Linked DNA regions of Mytilus edulis. The protein of the gene in region 2 binds, or shares a complex with, the protein of the main gene of each other region. Links are inferred from orthologs where the notes say so. Each region holds a gene or a part of one and is shown on either strand. Other genes may lie near its edges. The genes, in order: 5-demethoxyubiquinone hydroxylase, mitochondrial-like; ubiquinone biosynthesis protein COQ4 homolog, mitochondrial-like.

What was found.
Region 1: ubiquinone biosynthesis protein COQ4 homolog, mitochondrial-like (region 2) and 5-demethoxyubiquinone hydroxylase, mitochondrial-like share a complex: the UniProt entries of both Caenorhabditis elegans proteins name them as parts of the multi-subunit COQ enzyme complex. The link is inferred for Mytilus edulis from reciprocal best matches to the Caenorhabditis elegans genes coq-4 and clk-1.

The regions. Positions count from the first base shown.
Region 1 is NC_092352.1:83,475,233-83,486,392, reverse strand, and holds the start of 5-demethoxyubiquinone hydroxylase, mitochondrial-like, read right to left. Parts: upstream 5,192-11,160; 5' UTR 5,078-5,191; exon of another isoform or gene 4,618-5,077; intron 4,064-4,617; exon of another isoform or gene 3,694-4,063; intron 3,628-3,693; exon of another isoform or gene 2,412-3,627; 5' UTR 2,400-2,411; coding exon 2,214-2,399; intron 1-2,213. UniProt on the Caenorhabditis elegans protein: Catalyzes the hydroxylation of the 5-methoxy-2-methyl-3-(all-trans-polyprenyl)benzoquinone at the C6 position and participates in the biosynthesis of ubiquinone.
Region 2 is NC_092356.1:28,601,140-28,611,988, forward strand, and holds the start of ubiquinone biosynthesis protein COQ4 homolog, mitochondrial-like, read right to left. Parts: upstream 4,451-10,849; 5' UTR 4,401-4,450; coding exon 4,286-4,400; intron 1,911-4,285; coding exon 1,770-1,910; intron 815-1,769; coding exon 718-814; intron 228-717; coding exon 125-227; intron 1-124. Other genes in the region: DNL-type zinc finger protein-like, read left to right, coding at 4,514-4,965, 5,624-5,711. UniProt on the Caenorhabditis elegans protein: Lyase that catalyzes the C1-decarboxylation of 4-hydroxy-3-methoxy-5-(all-trans-polyprenyl)benzoic acid into 2-methoxy-6-(all-trans-polyprenyl)phenol during ubiquinone biosynthesis.

The DNA.
Region 1 (11,160 bases), on a different chromosome or scaffold from region 2:
CCCCCCCCCTTGGAAATTCTTGGCTTCAGGCCTGATATTGCATGATATTATCCCTAGTAACATATAATATCAATTGATGTGGATTAATTTTCACTTATCATGTGATCACTTTAAACAAACTCCACATTAAGCAAACCAATATATACTCATTAAATATTGTATTTAAAATCAGAATATTTTAGAAGATAAATATGGCATATATGCATTTAGTCTGATACTTATAAAGACATGTCATGCAAATATCTGACATGAGCCTCTTTCCTTGTAGAAATTTATTAAGCACTTTCTGACAAGCTGTGACGCAGTACGCCTTACTGTATTCTTGCAATAATCACAAATTATCTCATATTTTAGATAAAATGACACAATTGCAATAACAGCATCTCTAAAAGATAACATGTTTAATATCATAACAATGTTAATGTATTAAACCTTTTAGAATGAAACATCATATCTAATGCACAAACATCTACAATGCATCTAAAAATACCATTGAAAAAGTAATATCTGATTAAGTTTATCTATAATAGTTTTGTTTTGAAACAAAACTAATTTGCATTATAAAGAAAAATTTAAGGTAAAAAAAATAATCTTAAAAGAGTCAGAAAATTTCACAAAACTTCAAACATTTTAAATTTTTGAGTCTTAGATTATTTTCTAAAGAACAAACAGGGAGCTATGTTTTATCTCATAATTTACAAAGAACTTATCTCCATCAGCAACACATTTATATCACAAATATGACAATACAGTGTGAAACTGTATCGACTCTCCATAATATATTAATTATCTTTCAGTTATATTTGAATCGTTATCTAAACAAATACCATAAATTGAAATTATTTCCTAGTCTCATTTGCGTTAATATGCACATGTATATAATCATATTATCTACACAATAATACATTGTAATAATTTTGTGTGGGCCTACTAATATCCAATTGCTACACCTAAAGCTTTAGGTTTTATGCTTTTATAACAGTTCAATGCAATGCCACAATATTACTGAACGTCTGTGATGAATCTGTTTATTAAGACAAAATTGAGTCTGATAAATAGAAGGCATTGATTTTCGCTTGAAACCTTGAAAGAAGACCATGTAAATCTGATTAGTTTTCTTAATTAAATACAAAATTTTCTTTATGCGAGTTTTGCCTTGTTTAACAGTTGTTCTGACAGACTGAAATGTGTGCAGTTGAGGTGCATAAAAGCAGAACAAGTGCACAGAAAACTATGAGCTAAATTTTGAAGTTCCATTGTTACAATTTAGCTTCTAACATAAACATTTATCAGCTTTTATATGTCCTATAGTTTAACAATTTTGAAATTAGCAAAAAATGCAATTGCCTTCATTTATACAGTAACTTAATTCTCTAGTCCATTAGATTGAAGCTATAGTAATTTTTTGCAAGGCTACATAACAAAAATACATTTTGAAAAGAATCATGATGTATTCTCTTAAACTGATCATGAGGATTTCCATATTTCTACATTTTAGAAACTATTGTAAACAAATTTAAAATTCTGAAATGATATGTTGTATTTAGATATGCAGTCTTTCATGCTAAGTGGCAGCCCAGACAGCCCAGGATTGTAAAATTGCTTTTGGGCCTGTAAAAATCATATCTACAGGCCAACAGAATCAAAATAAAAAATTTCAAAAATTGAGCTCTGGGCCTGTAGACAAATGGTAGATTTAACAGTTCATCGAAATGACTGGATATGCTTGCATGCTCTTACTATAAAAAGACAATGATTTTAATTAAGTTGACCAATCAAACAAGTGATGCAAAATACATTCTATTTCCAATTTAAAATCCTTAAATAAAAATACAAATATGCACAATTCATTGTCATTGATATTTCAATACAAAAATTTGTAAAAGTATTAGATACATATATGTATCAATAAAATCAAAAGGATTTAATGTTTGAGTTTGAATCATTTGAACGTTACATACAAAGTTCAAAAACCTAACTTTGAACTTTGTCTGGTCTAAACTTTATTGCTATAATCACATTTATCTATGAAAATTTTTAATATGATTTATTTCCAAACTTATAAAAAAGTTTTACTTCATATTATCACAAAACTTAAGATTAATGCAGAGAAGATCAAGTGCTTGAAATCAAAAGGTTGCAATAAAAAGACATTAGGGTTGGAGGATCACGGTCACTGCTCCAAAGTCTGTGTTGGACACATCAATAATTACCTTTATAACTGGTCCTACGGAAGTATTCCCCAATATAGCCAGCTGTCCTTGGTAAATTCTGTCAGCGCCAAGCTCTCCTGCATGATCCACACGGATTATTTTGTCCACAAGTTCTCTACTGCGTTTCTGTCTAGCCATCTTGCTCATACAACGACATGGTATTCGTACAAGTGAACTTGAAGCCATTTTACAAATTATCTGTTTTAGTTAAATAAAATGGTAAAAGTAAATCAGAAAATAAATGGAGATATGTCTGTGGGTCACAGATGATATAACCCCACTTGTATAAACAATGTTATAAAGGGAATTAATAACGATAAAAGTGATACCAATTAAAATTAAGAATGGAAATGGGGAATGTGTCAGAGAGACAACAACCCATCAAAGACCTGAAAACAGCTGAAAACAGCTTTAATATATGTTACCATATTAAAATTAGTTGAGAAAGACACATTTACAATATAAAAATTTGATTTATTGAATTAAAAAAAACCAAAAAAACTGTTGAACTGTTGTTTTCCTTTTTTACAGCACTGGCCATGGGTTAATACTATCAATCCCAAATGATATCATCAGTACTGACATGATTTATAACAAACTTTGGCTTACTAAAATTGTACATTTATAAATTTTGAAATTATAAAGAAATGAGGGTTTTAACTCCCTCAGGCAATTCTGTATGTGCCTGTAATTCAAGGAAACTTGGTTGTCATTTGTTGCTGTGTAACATATTTGTTTTTCCTTTATCAAAGTATTCATTATTTTGTGCATAAATTAGGCCGTAAATTGAATTGTTTTACATTTGTCATTTCCAAGCCTTTTAAGCATGAAGCTAACTATGCAGTATGGTCATTGTTAAAGGCCCCTTGGTGACCTATAGTTGCTAATTTCCTTGTTATATGGTCTCTTGTTACATGTATGTTCCTCTACATGTATCTCTTGAATCTAAAGTACTCACTACATAAACTGGAGCTCTGTCTGCAAGTTTTGATTCTTAGTATTGTGTATGGGTTTCAGAAAATTTAAATGAGACAAACTTAAGTCAGAGTGGGGAAACAAAAAAAGGGGCAGATGGATGGACAGTCAAGGGTAGCACTTGATACCCTGTTGCCTATGATGGGGCATAAAACAGGATGATAGTGGTTTAGTAATTGAAGATTGTATCAAATTTTCACACTCCATGGAGACCATGGAAGAAGTTCCTCCAGTTTGGTTACGGTCATCTAGTAAGTCTTTCATTTTCGTTTACTAATGATACTTACCAGACAAAAGAAGTTAACGAGCATAGCATATACCGGTACAGGATTTCAAGGCAGAAGGGTAAGAATGCCATTTTATGTTACTGTTAGCCATACCTGACAACTCACCCATATTTTTGTGGTCACACAGTCTGCACCAAAAACTTTTTCAACTACTAGTCAAAAGACCAATATTCTGACATTTTTGTTATTTGGCCAAACAAAGTTTTGCAAAAACTTACTAGTCCTAACCAAATTTTACTAGTCTGGGGCATCGGACTAGTGGCTAACCGTGTAGACTGGTGAATTCAGTAAATGACAATTTGGCAAGATTAATAGTAACTGTTTTTTGTCATGTAAGTATCCCTATTAGTATTAGGACCCCCAAGCAGGGATTCAAGTTGTGCAAACAAACATTAAAGCTAAGATAATTTGATTGATTGATGTAATGTCCAGTGGCAAATATTTCATGCATGTTCAGTATGATTACAAAGTTAAGAATAAACAAAGTAAATTTAAAGTCTGTTGATGTAGTGTCGTCAACTTCAGGACAATGACATTATGAGGGGGGCAGGACCTTTTTCGGGTCGTCGGGATCGGGTGTTTTTCAATCTAATTAAAAACCGATCTTTCATCGCTCCTGTTTCTGATATGTCGCGTGGGAGATCTAACGAAACCGGCTTTGAGGTCACATGTGAGTGAACTAAAAGTCATGAATTTATAAAGATATGCAAATGAGTTGACGACCTATTAATAAGCCAATCAAAAAAGTTTATGAATTATTATGACTGACGATTTCGTGGTAAATAAAATGAGTTACATCCCTTTGCCTTATGTTAAACTTCCAAGATCGTGGAAGACTCAATTTAATTGGTCGAAAAAGACACACCTACGAGGTCACTCACATGTGACCTCAAAGCGGGTTTCGTTAGATCTCCCACGCGACATATCAGAAACAGGAGCGATGAAAGATCGGTTTTTAATACACCTTATCGCTATTCCCGGCTGACCCGTCCGCTTGAACTTTTGACGTCAACAACAATCACTTTTTCATTGTGGCGTCAGACATTTTGTTTTATGACGTCAAAATTTTACGGGAACCTGTGTGATTTCCAGCAATGGCGGACAAATAGCGATAAGGTGTATTAGATTGGGTGTTTTTTAACTCTGGATTTCGGAATCGATCCTTTCAGGATCCGGGAACTCTTTTTTCAAATTTCAGGATGTCGGGATTTAAATTTCTTTAAATTCTGGACCTCAGGATTTCATGTTTTTTAGCCCGGGATTTCGGGATTAGGAACCCTCCAACCCCACTCAATTATTATGCAGTGTTTGAAATTAAATCAAAACATTACATCAGAAATTTATTACAGAAATCAAGATTAAAATATCAAGGATGATGTGACCTTCATCAAAACTTTAAATCTCGTGACACAAAGATATGCTAACTAACAGTATTGAAACTTGTAGGTACAAACCAATTCTACTGCACAGGTCAGTTTTATAATTTGTACGTGACCAAGACCATGTTATCATATTTGAATTATTTCTCATATATAACAACTAAAAATTTAAAATCTAAATTAATTAAATATGTGCTTTAACCTCTCATAGAAAATAAATTACAGTCGTATTATCGATATTTCTGTCCTATGTGACCACAGACATCAAAACTTGAAGAAAGTTACGTAAATCGTCTGCTATAAATATGGGCGCTGACATATTGAAGTCTCGGAGAAAATATTATAAACATTTTTTTTTTTAAATCACTCAATAAATTGAGTACATGTCCTTGGTTAGAAAGTATTTATTTAATTCATCAACAATGCAAAATATTTGTTACGAAAACGTCTTATTTTTTTACCCATTGATAAAAATTGTAAGATTATTTTTTAACCAATCAAATATCAGTAAATTGTAATATTTTGATGAAACAGCTGAGAGCAAGAGCTGTCAGAATTTGTGAATGGAATTGTTAGATTTTTGTGTATTGGGAAATTTCATCAGATGTAGAACTCACATAATACACAGAAAACGATTGAGAAAGAGTAAATAAAAACGATTTAGAAGTTGACATGACAAATTAGGTAAGGAATTTTTATTCAATTTATAATTATTTATGTTTCAATCAAAGATGCTCTTTTTCGTTTTGTGATTGACAGATATATACAATGTCAATGTCAAGTATGAATGAAATGTCTGTTAATTACTACAAATCATTAGAACATTGAATGAATTTAAATAATGCATTTCATTCTTAGATGCTTTCAAAATTCAGGTATGCAAATATTGATTTTGTATTTATAATTTTATACATGTTAAAAATTGATGCATAATTAAAAAGATTTTATTGAGGTATTTATTGAGAATTTCAAACAAAAATTTCTGATATTGGACTATTTAAAATGCATGTAAATAGTAGCACATTTACAGGTCTTTTAGTTGAACCAAACAATTTTGTTGCTCAGCTCGGTTATAAATATTTTTCATTATATTTTTTTTGTACATTAAAAATATAATTAGGCCATTTAAGTTTTCTGGTTTGAATTGTTCTACATTTGTCAATTTCGGGGCCTTGTATAGCTGACTATAAGGTATGGGCCTTTGCTCATTGTTGAAGGTTGTTTAGTGACCTATAATTGTTAATATCCGTGTCATTTAGTCTCTTGTGAAGAGTTGTCTTATTGGCAATCATACCACATTTTTTTGTTATTTCCAGCCTGTGGCATCAGAATTGTGTGTACACACAGTGTCACACACATTTCTATTTTTAAGACATCTCTCAAGAGACAACTAGCCAATTTAGTTTTACATCTTTCAATGACCATTCACTTTATGTTTTTTTTAAAAACCTAGAGGTTCTAACCACTACATAAGTAATTTTTGTTTTGGCCTTAGAGTGACCACTCACATAAAATTGATTAACACTTCAATGTGCTGATTTCTGCTGTTAAAATTAGGAAATATTGATCTTGATAGTGCTTCATATTGTATTCTCATAGACATACTACCTGTCAAAGACAGAATTGTGTCATTGTACACAGTAGATTTGTGTCAACAGTGCCATCACAACTAGCCAATTGCAAAATCAAACCAAAAGTTGTTAAGGACTTCATGTACATTATACCTCAGACCTTATTTGTTTTAGGGATAATTAATGGTTGTTAACATGATCAACTGTTACAGTACAATGTTTATGTACAAAAATGTAAAGATCATTGCAATGAGACTAAAGGTTTCTACAGGGTCAGGATTTTAACCCTCTTCAAAACTTTCAGTCCTGCGGAAGACAATGTAGTCTTAAAATTGTTTCAACCCTGAAGATTTTTTTTTATGATTTGCTGGCGCATTGGAATGTCCCACATTAATTCGCCAAAGCATCTGGGACTAAACATTCTAAAAGAAAATTGGAAACCTTATATCATTTTAAACCAGTTTATCAGATTGGATCAAATAAGATTGATTGATTGATTTTTTGGTGTTTAATTCCTCTTTCTGTACTGTCAGACTATGTGGGCTGTTCGGTGGCAGCCAGTTTCTATGGAGGATCAGATAAGAACATTTCATCTTATAACACCAAGATTAAAATCAAATTGACCCCAGGCAATTAGAAACAAAAGTAAAACAAACCCTGGATAGCTGAGCTGTTAATATGGAAACCTTGTTATAAATGGCTTATTAATACTTGCTTTTAACTTAGTAATGCCAATTTTCATGTTAAATCGAACTATGATAGAATATCTGAATGTGATAAAAATCAGAAAGGCGAATCACATCCTCTTTGTTACTATGTGTTACGCCTTGAAATTATTGACATATTTGGTAGTGAAGTTCGATATAATATGACTTCCAATCTTGATTTTTAAAGGTTTAATTGCTTCAAGCATAAGACTAGTCTAACCGTTTTGACAATGATTTTATTATTCTCGTAAAAAATGTGTATGAAATTAATGGACTGATCATAATTGTGCATCAGTGCAGAAGTTTCAAATCATCGGATTTTATTATAATGTAAGATAAATGTCTTATATAAGTCTTTTGAATTTACTGGGAACGTCAGGTAAATGCTATTTTTGTAGACAAATATTACAACAATGAAAAGGTTTTAAATTTTCAGTATGACAATATAGCATATATTTTATTTATTATTTTTATAATTGAAACGACCTTGATACTCATGATGGCCAATTACAGTCAATATTTGTTATGTTTTAAATTCAAATAAGTAATTATGATATTTAAAAAACATTTAACTTTTTAAAGTCATAAAGGGGTGCAAGAGTTAAAAACTTAATATGTCTATAAAATAATTTTTGTTGTTGTAGATGTATGAATTCTGAAAGATTATATTGATGTCCAAGAATTGCAGTAAATATTTTTATGGCCCATTTATGGGCATTATGTTTTTTGGTCTGTGCATCTGTTCGTCTGTCCTGCTCCTGGTTAAAGTTTTTGGTTGAGATAGTTTTTGATGAAGTTGAAGTCCAACTAACTTGAAACTAAGTACACATGTTCCCTATGAAACGATCTTTCTTATTTTAATGCCAAATTAGAGATTTTACCCCATTTTCACGGTCCATAGAAAGTGATAGTGTGGATGGGGCATCCCTGGGTTATGGACACATTCTTGTTGGTAATTTGATTAATCTCACAATACATGGTGACCCTCTGCTGCTGTTTTTTATTTGGTCGGGTTGTTGTCTCTTTAACACATTCCCCATTTCCATTCTCAATTTTACAGAAAAAGGGGAACAATAAAAAAATATAATTTTCATGTTTTCTTGGCTAAAAAAAAGAAGAGAACAATAATCCTATTCAGAATCCTTTCCAGACCCATTCCCCCATCTCCCCTTTCCCCCTATTTCTGTCTATGTCTTAGATACAGGAGGCAATCATGCTAGTCATGTGCAACAAGCTATTTTTTAAGGCACATCTTTCCTATGGGACTAATACATTTTGTAATATCTATTGAAATAAAAATGTTCTTTTACAAAAAAATGTAGGTTTGTATATAAGCAGTCACTGTAGTAAATCATGTAATTAAATATCTACGAAAATGCAAGTTTTACCTTGAATGAACAAAAAATAGGTACCCACAAAAAAAAACAAATCCACAGTATTTTAAAGTCCTCAACAGTGGTCTTTGCTTGAAGAAATTATATTGTGTATTGGCCTCTAGATGTTTTTTTCTTTATTGATGTGAGGTTGCTGTCTTGTTGAGCTGATACTCCCCATATCACATTTTGATAATTTTTGATGTGTCTGGTAGGGTTAAAGATTCATAACAGGGCATGCAAGATTAGCATAAATCAATTAACATTAACAGTTTGGAGTAGCTTAGCCTGCTAATCATTATGGCTATTGACACTTAATATAAGTCCATTTAATTAACAATTACTTATTATGTGTTAGCCATTTAAATATACACAAGAGATTGTTGAACTTTTTTGAATTGGGGTGAATATTTACTTAACCCTTTAAATCTAAACCAAATATTATCATTGAATACACATCAACCTTGAGGGTATATTGATATCTTCCATTCATTAAAGTTAAAATGGCCTTATGACATGTATGACTGGACCAGAAATTTTTTAATGGACTGATAGTGGTCAAAAGTACCAGTGATTTGCTTTTACACAATATAAACTTACTAGTATTATAAAATCATACTTTCCAAAATGTTTTTGTGAGGCCAGTTTTAAAGAGCTTTTATTCATTTTAGTACTTTTGTAGTTATTTTAGTCATGTAGATTTCCAGTTCATTGATTTACATAATTGCACTGAAACATGAGGTTGTAAATTAATAACAACCTTTGTCTTAGATTTTGACTTTCCTGTTTGGTCCCTTTAGTCTTTGGTGAAAGTAAATCTCAGTGGCAATCATACAAACTATCCTTGTTTTTAAACTGTATTTTATTGGGCCGTCAAAATTTTCCAAAGACATTTGGATTCTGTACAACAACTTAAATATATATATGTATGGATCTGTATGCAATTGTACCACAAGGTTCTATACCACGGAAGAAAGGTATTTTGTTCCAACTGCTTAATTATGAATAAGAGCTTAAAACAAGCATTTCCTTTGCCTCAGGACAATATTTAAGAGCTGCTTCAAAGCGTGAATGTTGTGTCAATACTTGCGGACGTATCAAGCTGCGAAGGATTTTATTTCAATAAGGCCATATAAAAATGTATGTGTGCACGTGGTTCCAGTACCCTACTACCCTACTTTTTAGTCTCTATAATAGCCTACCCTAAAGTCTTTTGCCATTTTGCATTTTAGCACTGTTAAAGTCAGAATGTTTTTCCCATAGACTCAATGTAAGAATAAAACAAAACTTTTTAAAAATCCCTACCGACCTACCCTAATATTTGTTAGATGTAACTGGAACCACACATATTATTTTATTTGGCCTTATTTAAAAATTGTCTGGTAGCTTAGAACAATGCATCTTTAAGTTAATTTTTGAGATTTCAAATTTTTTTTTTACTTATCTGTTGATATTTTTTTCATGCCTTGATAAAATAAACATTTAAATAAACAATTTTTTTCCCATATCATATATTTATTTTTGGTATTTTATACAATAGAGTTGTAAACATCTGGTTCATACCTTATGTATTTATGCAATTTACCTACGGCAAAACTAATACCATTTCTTGATTTTTGTTGTAAATCATGATCAAGGACTATATTTTTTGTTGATTTGACATAAAATATACATATTATAATAATATTTACAGTAAACGCCTAATATAAAATGTCAATAGATGTAAATATGCTGTTTTAGACAGTTTCAAGGGAGATAATTTACAAATTGGAATGAATGTAAGGATGTAACATAATGAGCAGGTATTTAAAGTAAACATATTTTAAATTTTAATTTTAGTTTCTTGTGTACAATTTGGAAATTAGTATGGCGTTCATTATCACTGAACTAGTATATATTTGTTTAGGGGCCAGTTGAAGGACGCCTCCGGGTGCGGGAATTTCTCGCTACATTGAAGACCTGTTGGTGACCTTCTGCTGTTGTTTTTTTCTATGGTCAGGTTGTTGTCTCTTTGGCACATTCCCCATTTCCATTCTCAATTTTATTATTCTAAAACATAAAAACGGGAGGAAAATTGAGTAAAACTGTTGAAACTTTAAAAAAAATGCAAAAATTTGGAATAATATAGTGGAAAGGAATATATCAAAGAATTAATGTTTGTTTTTTTTTGACAAATTGTGACTATTAGAATTGAGACTTAATTAAAGTGGGTCTCATTGGGGAGGTTCTGATCCCGGATCCCCCTTACTGTTTTGTCAGATTCCCGTTACCCAGTTGCACTATGTACGCAATTCTCATTTTTTTGTAATTTCCTGTTTCCCGCTAGACTTCATTTCCTGTTTTCATGGCACAATAATGTGACTTTCACGTGTCACGCTTACAAAAAATTGTCAATCCCACATCACGCTTAGACCCCAATGAGACCCACATTAAATGATTCCCATTTTGCAACATATTAAACCCTTTTGGTAGGTGCACATATCTGGCAAGGTCATATATCACTATTTAACCTTATCATGGTTCTTATAATGTTTTTATAAAGTTGGATGGGATATCTGTGTAAAACCTTAATATTTTAGACTTTCAACATAAAAGTTCAATCCTGATCTATAAAGCAGGTGAGACAACTCAGCAATGTGCACTCTTGTTGATGGT
Region 2 (10,849 bases):
TCTTAACTGTCTGCACAGAGATCAGAACATATTTCAGATAAAATAAGACATTCAGAACTATTTTTGACTGGAAATTATTTGAGAGATAGGAGTTTAGGTCAAAATGTAAAATGTTATTACTTACATTTTTACTGAGAAAATTCCAGTATTTTTTACCAAAAGTTTCCTCTGGTAAACTACCTAAGTAATCTATAGATAATGTTGAAGTATTAATTTCTGGCTCTTCCCTGAAATATATTTGTATAAAAAGCAAATAAAACTCTAATAAAGTGATTAACATGTCTACCAATCTCTATATTTTGTGTTCACTCTTTTATTTATTATTTTTTTCCCTAGATTTTTTCATGTATATATCTCATATTGGTTTGCAAACTCTGATACATAATGGATGTGTAGTGGCAGTTGCATTCAACAACGCTTTCAAGTTTTCTGCTGAATATAAAAATAAGAAGTTGTGGTATGATAGCCAATGAAACAACACACCAAATGACATAAAATTTAACTGCTATAGTATAGGTCAAGATACAGCCATGAACAATGAGAAAAATTCAGTAAGCAGTTGACGGTTGATTACGTCTCTCCTGGCACCCTGGCTTCCTCAACCAAAAAAAAAGTGGCCTCAGAATTTATCCAATATTACTAAAAGTGGCATTTAACACCATCAATCAAACATGGCATATTTTTTGTTAAAATTATCGATATTTGTTAGACCCTTACTCAATAATTTTTCTGCCAACAGGATCTTCCAACATTTTCTGTTTCATTTTCTTTAGAGCAAAATATCCTGTGGTCTCCCCTAGAGTGGATATCATATCTGAAATGACATTTAACATTAGTTTTAGAAATAACTACAGATTATATCTATTTGATAATCAGATCAATCTATTTGATGTTTTTGCACAAATCCCCTATTTTAAATAAGGTGTAACACCACCATTAAACACAGTACTTATCACAATAGATGAATTATAAATAAATTAACTAATAAATTAACAAATAAATTAACAAATATATTAACAAATAAATTAACAAATAAATTAACAAACAAAAATTGATGTTTCATGTTCCAACAGCACTTTCAGTGTTTTGGTGAGCACGAAGAGAGCATTGCTGTCTTTCTAACATACATATTAACAATGAGGAGTTTAAAACAATTCTGAGTTTTTTCTCCGTTATAAGAGTTTTAGATATTAGAGGTATGCATTTGATAGAAAAGATTAAAATTAAAATTTTACTGAGTGATATGTTCATGATGTTGGTATGAGAACAAACTTAAATAAATCCTCAAAAATGTCACTGTATAGTTGGAGCTCAAACTTAAAGTAGGTTGGAAAATCTATGAGAAAATCATTCATCTTTTTGGGGTCTGGAGGGATAAAAACTATCTATAGAATAAACTCATCATACATACCCGAGTATTAAATTTTGTATTTACGCCAGATGTGCATTTTGTCTAATAAGACTAATCAGTGACGCTCAAATCCAAAAAGGTTAAAACCAAATAAAATACAAAGTTGAAGAGCATTGAGGGCCAAAATTCCTAAAAGTTTTGCCAAAAACCGCTAAGGTAATCTATTCCTGAGGTAGAAAAGCCTTATTAGTATTTCAAAAATTCAAAAGTTTTGTAAACATTTAATTAATAGATATGACCATATCTGATTATCAATGATAATTCAAGTCCACACAGAAGTGCTGACTACTGGAATGGTGAAAAGGCAGGCTGAAATTTTACTAGTTTTTTTTTACCTAACCAATGGCACTTTTCTTACCATCTCTTCTCGGATCATATAAAGACATTGCTGCTGATCCAGCTGATAATAAAACTTTCTGGAATAATGTGGTAGGGATGTGTCCAGGATAAAGATCATCATACTGCAGGGCTCTTTCTTCGTCAGGTTCTTGTTCCTCTTCTACAATTGACAAATGCCAAATGAAAAAAGACTAAAAGTAGATACTGCTAATTTAAAAGAAAGTACAAATGGCTGTAAAAGAAAATATATATATGACTAGATTTTGGTATTATCATTTAAAATTACTTATATTTACAGTGTCTCACAGTGTTATACTTTTGTTGCCTTTATTTATTCACCTCTTATTATATTGGTTTTGTATTTACATTGTGTCATAGATCAAATTTATTCGTTCAGACACTGTAATGTTCACTTGCGTTAATATGTCTTTTAGATTGAGTTGATCAAGCCATTTCAAATGATATTTTATAGTGTGTCTTTCTATGTTGTGATGTCAGAGGCGGAATTAGGGGGGGCCAGGCCCCTTTTTGGAAAAAAATTTGGTTGCTTATATAGGGAATAACTGAAGCGTGTGTGTTACTGAACATGCCTCCCCTTCCTCTTAATTTTTTTAAAATTTAGTTCACTAGTTTAAACATATTTATTTATAGTGGACTGAAAAAACAAGTTTTGCAACTTATATTAATCCCTTTCCACATTGCGGGTGCAAGTGCTGCCTTGTAGAGGCATTAGCCTGCTCTTTTTTCGAAATCTTCAATGTTGTCTTTAATGTGCAAGAGATGTGGCTCTCTCTTATCACAGTCTAGCCATTTATCTTCATCTCCCGATGGAATATCTTCGTATCCTCAAGACCATACTTGCAAATGGTGACAAGGGAGAGCTGAAAATTCATTCCCTGAAATTTTCATCCCGGGGCCGGGAATCAAACTAGTTTAGTTCAGCTTTGTTATCAAGGCTTTAAGGCCTTGACTGATGCAGCTGATACAACACAAGGAGGAACAGCGTTCCAACCCTGAATGGTTCTTAGAAAAATGAGATTTTGAAATAATTGCAGGATGCTGATGACACTGATGGTAAGAAAATATTTATACAGAAATTTTTATTTTTAGTTCTGCGCAAAACCAAAGGTCTCATCACAGGACGAGTTTGAAATCCTATCAATATAAAGGGGGTAAAAATATAAGAAACTCCACTATCACAGTAGAGCTTCATTCGAAAAGAGAGCAAGAGAAGCTCTACTGTGATAGTCGAGTTTGTTATATTTTTACCCCCTTAGGAAGCTACCATTTGATTTTTAGGGGGGGGGAACGACAATTTAGGTAAAAAAAGTCACGATAAACTAAAAAAAAAGAAGGCAGGACCGATTAGAGTGAAAAATAAAAAGGCAGGACAGAGATTACAAATAAAAAAAAATGCAGGTCAAAAATTTTCATCCTAGCCCCCCCATAAAAATCAAATGGTAGCTCCCTTATTGATAGGATTTCAAACTCCTGCGGTCTTATTCACATACTTAACAGTATGCATAGGAATACACATTACATGCTTTTAATCTCTATAACCAAAATTTTCAGAAAAATTGTGAAAGAGAAAATATACAGCTTCAACTTATGAGGGCCCTCATGGGGTTTTTGATTATGTGATTACTTGGCCGTTTTTTTAATGATTATTTGATTATTAAGCCAAATATTTCATGATTATTTGATTACCTAGGACTGTATTTTTAGTTAAGGTTCATCATAACCTTTTGGCTAAAATGGCCGTATTTACACCCCGAATTTTACTCTGAGTACAGACTAACCTATACACCTGCAACATTTTTAAGGGATGGCAGGAACTAGATATATAAATTTTAAATGCATTTTATGTTTCAGAAAATTATAAACTTTTCTAGATTTTGCTATTCATTTTTTTTCGTTCCTGCAGAAGGTTCAAAAATTAACTAAGTAGTGAAAACGATTGAGAAGCTCCCCTCATATAATCAATGTTGTGAGTAGTATTGATTTAAATGGACAATAGATGGACAATAGACACCTGTAAACAATAGGTTATTTAACAGGTTTAAACTGTGTAACTGAGTGGACCGTATCAAATGAAACTCGGGTGTTTGTTTATTTTGCTATCTTCTGCAGACTGGAAAAAAATGAACATCAAAATCCAGGTAAGTTTTTAATTTTCTGAAACGTAGACTTCATATAACTTTTATATATCTAGTTCCTGCCATGCCTTAAAACTTTCCTGGATGTACCAGTTTGTCTGTACTCATAGTAATTTTGGAGGTGTAAACACGGCCATATTTTTCAATTCCTTATGATGAACCTTAATGATTATTTGATTACTAAAGATAAGCAAATATTTAATGATTATGTGATTATATTGGCAAAAAAATGGTGATTATGTGATTACTAGGACCCCCCCCCCCCCCATGAGGGGCCTCACTTATGCTTTGTTTACACTGAAGTAACCTTTAATTATTTTGGTTGAAAATCAATTTTCAGATTTTCACGTTTTTGTAATGAAAAGTAGTTTTAAAGTACCTGGCGCATGATTGCTTGATGTTCCAATACTACATGTCTGACTAACAAGTCGACAGCTTCGTTGTGTCAACTTCTGTAAAACCCTACACCTTGTAAATGTCAAGCTAGATGTCATTTTTGTTCCCTTTTTCTACTTTCGCTTTGTATGTCTGTACATTCCGCGCATGCTCATAGAACCGGATGTTGCATGTGTTTTTGGCTAAATATTAAAATGAAAGTACACTAATTATGAATCCTGTAAGAATATTCTTAAGAAATGCAGCTATTAAGGAGGCAAATCGGACAACTTATATGTGTAACAACAAATGCAACATAATTTTAAGAACTTTTAGTTTGAAAAGTGGTATTCAAACAAGTTTGCAAGGTAGCAACACCTTCAAAAAACAATTGGTAGATGGCAGATATATTGGATACTTTTTCCCTAATAGGATATTGTGTTCACCGAGATATTACAGTAGTGAACAAGATGATGAAGGACAAACACAATCAAATCAGACACTAGGAAAAATTAAAGGAACACTGCTCATGGCTTACAAATGTAAAGTTTGTGGAACAAAAAACCAAGAAACATTTTCTAAACAAGCTTATGAAAAGGGGGTTGTTATTGTCACTTGTAAAGAATGTAAAAGTAATCACTTGATTGCTGATCATCTTGGCTGGTTTCAAGATTTCAAAGGAAGGTAAAACATTTTTTATTATTACTTTCAGTCAGAGACATATATACATGTGTATATATGTCTCTGTTTCAGTGCATGGCCCATTCTCAAAAGGGGTCTAAGTGTGAAGCAGGATTGGCCCATTTTTTTTAAGCGTGATACTTGAATTAAGTCCAATAATTAAGCGTGAAAATGGGAAACAAAGTATGGCAGAACACTGGAAATCACATGCGCTATTACATGTATTATGGCAACAAGAAGCGGGATACAGGATTCTCACTTAACCAGTTAACAATAACAGTTCAGAATGAAACCCCCACAAAATATTAAAAAAAAATAAACATCAACATGAAATAAAGATTAAGACTACTCTTTATAAAAATACCTACATGTATATGCCAGTGACGGATCCAGGGGGTCTGGGTGATGGACCCCCCTTTTCTTTCTTTTAACTAGTAATGCATTTGAATGGGGACACATAGTTTAGTTTAGTCAACCCCTGATCCTTGCACATACATCCAAATAGAAAGATATCTTATCTAATATACTGTAGTTACAGATGTTCTTTCAAATATAATGTTATGCATTTTCTTGTCTATTGCTTCAAGTCCTATTAACTGGCCATGCTGGCTTTCACCTGATATAAGCAATTAATTAAAATTGTGCTTTAATTCTTTTAAAGGACTATTGAAGAAATTTTGGCTGAAAAAGGAGAAACTGTGAAGAAAGTTGTGCTTGATGGTGGAATGGAACTGATTCCAAAAAACTAATAAAAATAATGATTCTTAATTGTGTATATATGTTTGGAAATAAATAAAATTGTTTTTAAACAAATATGTTTTGATCAGTACATCTCTAAAATTGAGTATGGAAACAGCGAATGTGTCAAAGCTACAACAACCAACCAATGAGAAGAAAACTGCTGGGTCATCAACACTAAAAAAAATCCGCACATGGAGACAGAGTGTAATCCAAGAGTATCCCTGTGTATTATAATCATATTCCTAATCCATACACAAGTTTAATAAAAATGAAAATATATACTAAGAGGTCAAATATCTGCAACATGTACTAGGACAAGTAAAACTTGACTGTTTATCCCATTATGAATTTTCCATTTTTATGTATTAACATTCCTGCACCACATGCACACATATATATGGATTGTTTATCTCCAGGTATTGTCTTGCCTGAACGCAAGTCTGAGAATTGGACATAAGAATGCTAATTTGGTATTTGGCATTGCGGCTAGGCTAGTGAATAAAATATTATACAAAGCTTTATATCTCAAAAAGGTAAAAGAGCTGAATGATTCATATCTTGTAGAATGATACCATATATTTATGTTACAATGTTTCTGTCTGGCATATGTCCATTTTCTTTCAACTCTTTTTCAATTTTCAGTAGTTTTTTTATGATGGGCATTTCTCACTTTTATTAGTATAAATAGGTTATTTATTTTTGATATATGGTATCCTTGCAAGGTCTTTTTTTGTATGTAAACAGGGCTCATCTGACCTTGGCCTCAACTCAGATAAGTGATCAAGGTTAAGTTTTCATCTTTACAAATTGTGACTTGGATGAGAGAGTTGTCTCATTAGCATTCATACCACATCTTTTCATATCTATTTCGTCCTTAGTCTTAGATACTAAAAGTAGTAGGTCAACAATATTTGGATCAATTGTAAGATGTAAATGTCGTCTCGCAGGGTTAGTCTGACCTTGAACTCATTTTCATAGTTCGAATGGTAAATGTCAAATTTTCTCAAGTGCTGTAGGATGAAGATGGTTAAATCTCTGCTTGGTCGAAACCAAAACTTGCTGCCTCTCTAATTAGCATTATGAGTTTAGTAGGAGGAGCAAAGACTGGTTGGCGCATTTAGATTTATGTAGATATAAGAAGATGTGGTTTGAGTGCCAATGAGACATTTCTCCCCTCCAAGTCACAATTTGTAAAATACAGTCTTAAACAGGGAGCCTTGGATCACACCAAAAGCAGGAAGCTATAAAGGGCCTCAAAAATGACATGTGCAAAATCATTCAAACAGGAAAACCAAAGGTTTAATCTTTACAAAAAACAAGAAACGAGAAACTATTATGAACCACACTCCCAGAGACACCTACTGAACATCAGATCCTGACTTAAGACAAGTGCAAACAAATACAGCAGATTCAAATGTTTTGATAGGTACCAACCTTCGCCCTTATCTTATGTGTTTGGTATGATGACATTTCTTTCTTTGGACTTACTTTGGACATATTTATAAAGTATAGTATTAAGAAGGATTGTTCATATCATATGCACATATATTGTCCTGAAAATGTATGTAATATTTGCCACTTGACTTTGAATTTTCATCAAACAAGATTTTCAAATACCATCTCTGCTCTTATCTAGCTGACTATCTTTAAAATACAATATAAATATAAGAAGATGTGGTATGATAGCCAATGATACATCTCTCCACAAAAGACCAAATGACACAGAAATTAACTATAGGTCACAGTAAGGCCTTCAACAACGAGCAAATCCATAACACATATACAATAGATAAATAAAAAGACTTGATGAAATGAAAACACCATTTATTATCAAAACAAAAATAAATAAGTACATAGAGTAAATGATAAGTATTTTTTATAAATCTTGTTTAAAAAAATGATCATATGTTCAATTTAATTTCATGTAATTAATAAATAAGTCTAAATAATACCTAAATAATAATGCCAAAATTTAAAAGGGAATTTAATACATGTACAACTCATGTATGTCCCTTTACATTTATTATAACTTTTAAACCTTTTTTACTACCTCAAGGTATCAGATATTTAAAGATTTACAGATAAAGTTAAATGAGATCTGGAAAAAAATATATATTGAACACATATCGAGATCATATATATTGCACCAAAATACTTTTAAAACCAGTGGAATCCACAAAATTTGTGAAAACAACAAGTATTATAAGTGAAAAGGAAAAATCAATCCTGTAAAACTACACCAAAATCCTTGACTGAAAAATGGGTTATTTTTTAATATGTCTTTGAATTAATTCAATATTCGAGCTCATCAAGTAATTTCTTTCCCTAGGATTCTTTCCTAATTGAATGAAATTTGTGTGGGGAAGATATACACCAAAGGCATTTACTATACTGGAAATTCTACAAACCAAAATAAATGTACTGTACGCTTACGCTAGCTAGCTTAAATCAAAACTTCAGACAATGCAGCAGTAGAAGAATCATAAGAATTCAACTTTTATTAGAAAAAAAATGCTTCCATAAAGTTGTGAAGAGTTTAACCATTTGCAGAACAGTGAATTGCAGTTGTTTGCCAACAAAATTACACAGCCCATTTATGAAATATGAAATAAGGGGTAAAACATGATTGGAGGTACAGGACTACTTGACGACTGTGGTTCTTATTAAATTAATTTTGGACACTGTTTATTTTTTAAGTATTGTGGAAAACTTTCATCTCTTGAGTATGGCAAAGCGTTAATCAAATGAATAGATCTTCAAATTAAGTCAAAACAGTTTGTTGAAAATTAATTTACCGGTACACCATTTTTCAGTCAAGGATAAAATGTGGGGAAATGTTTAAATTTATTTAAGTAGATAAACAATTAATACAAAGACAACAATAACATACATATATGATATCTGAAATACAAACATTTAAAAGACAAAGATGATGAAACAACACACACTTCCTGTTAAAGTTCATACAATTAGTATCCCATGATTCAAAGTATGATAACTCTCCAAAAGAATGCAGGATTATTCAGGATAAACTCCAAAAAGACAGGAATACAATAAATATAGAATAATATTCTGTTCACAGAACAAAATTAATAGCAAAAGTAATAATAATGCGTCTAAATACTACAAATGAAACTGAACGCATAAACAATGCTTTGTTAAAGCAAATTAAGAGACAATAAAATTAAAGCATGTTTCAAACTGCTAGCTTAATCTGAAGAGGCCATGAGACTTCGGGAAATGCATTTTCTCATAATATTAAAACTTTTCTTTAAACAGTGAGTAAAAATTCAGAAAATGGGCTTCAGTAGGGTATTCCCCTTAGGTCACAGGGTCACGTTCCAACAAATAAAATGTTTAAATAAAAGTGTGACAGGATTACTATCCTTCATTAGTAGATACTTAATTATTCAACCATAAGCAGTTGATCTAAGAAAGTACTTATAAAGGGCAGCAATCCCTCACAAATGTACTAACAGGTCCTAAATAAGACATCAAGGGGCAAGGTAGAAATCCTTCTTTCTCCCATAGGTCCCATCTGGGAGCCACATAAATAAAGGAAAATTACAGTTGTTCATAATGAACAAATTAGATGCCAATGATGTAATTTTTCTAAATTTTAACTTTGGATCAATATTATTCAAATAAAATTACGGAATCTTATAAGTCTCAGATTTAAAGCATGTAAAAAGCTGAAAAAGGAAATAAACTGACAAAAATTATAATTCAAAATAGAAAATACAGAAGAATTATTAAGAAAGCACTTTAGTAAAATTACTTTTAAAAGAAAATATTAAGTCTCATTTTAAGTAAAGATCCTGAAATAATCCTGTTTCCGTTATTTTGTACAAATATAACATTTATAATGGCTGATGCAATGAAAATGGAATAAATGATTTTTATGATTTTGATTTTGAAAAAATTTTGTATTCAGATATTTAGCAGATCCTGTTCAAATGAAGCAACATCTAAACTGTCAATTGAATACCGGTAGGTTTTTGGTGACCTCAAATGCCCAAATTTTGGCATCTTAAAAAAAATCGTCTATACAGGACTGTCAACAAAATCATTGTCCCTGCTCAGTTTATGAGGGGGATGACGCGCTGGCATTCATTTGCCAACCACCCCACCCCCCTTTTTTTCCCCAATTTCCACTACTTTTCCTTCTTTTTTAGAGATCAAACTTTTAACTGTCATTATATCTCATCCCTTAAGCATGTCATCCCCCTCATTTATGTCACAACATCCAATAAAGCTTAACTTTTTCTTTCTAAGAAATCTAATGTACACCTATTCTATCTTTCAATAATTACAATGCTGACGTCAGGTCATTTAAGATAAAAATTTCTTATCCTACATCCACCATTAGATATACTTAATGTACATACACGATATAATATCCTACATCTGTACAATAAAACAAATACAGGCTTTGCACCGCAGAATGAATATATGTAACCATAATTTCTATACAGAAAATGTATAAAATTTATATACCTTGCCATATCAATCTCCGATTTTAATGCCCAAACTTGTTTTTTTTGACAAAATACTAATCAGTGGTTGATTAAAAAAAATCAACAGAGTTGGGTCTCATTTGGGTAATGGAATGTTTTGGCCATAAAAAGTTAACAAAAATATTCAAAATAATTGGCAATTAATCAAAACCTTTGCAATCAACTTAAAGTGGAATAAAAAAGAGATATGTTTTACAAGAATTACAATTTGTTCATGTTCCATGATAGAATCGTTAAAATTTAAAGTTAAATAATGTTAATCTTCATATCTGAATCATATGAGGAAGATGTTTGGGTTTTTTTTTCTAAAAAAGACTGCAAATGAATTCACATTTTCTTTTTGTAAAAAAATGGAAAAATAACTAATCAAAATTTTTTTTTTTTTTGACTTTACAAATATTGATAGTTGCATTGTCAGCAAATTTTTGAATGAAAAATTCAGCTGTAGATAGAGGAGGAAGCATTATAGCAGACATGCCTTAAAATATTCTAAGATAATTCTAATATAATAATATTTAAAAAAAAGACCAAAAGATCACAAGACACACACTTAGTTACAAATCTCTAAGCTATATTTATAATGTAGACAAATATCTTAACCCTATGATAAAAATATAATTTATTGAGTA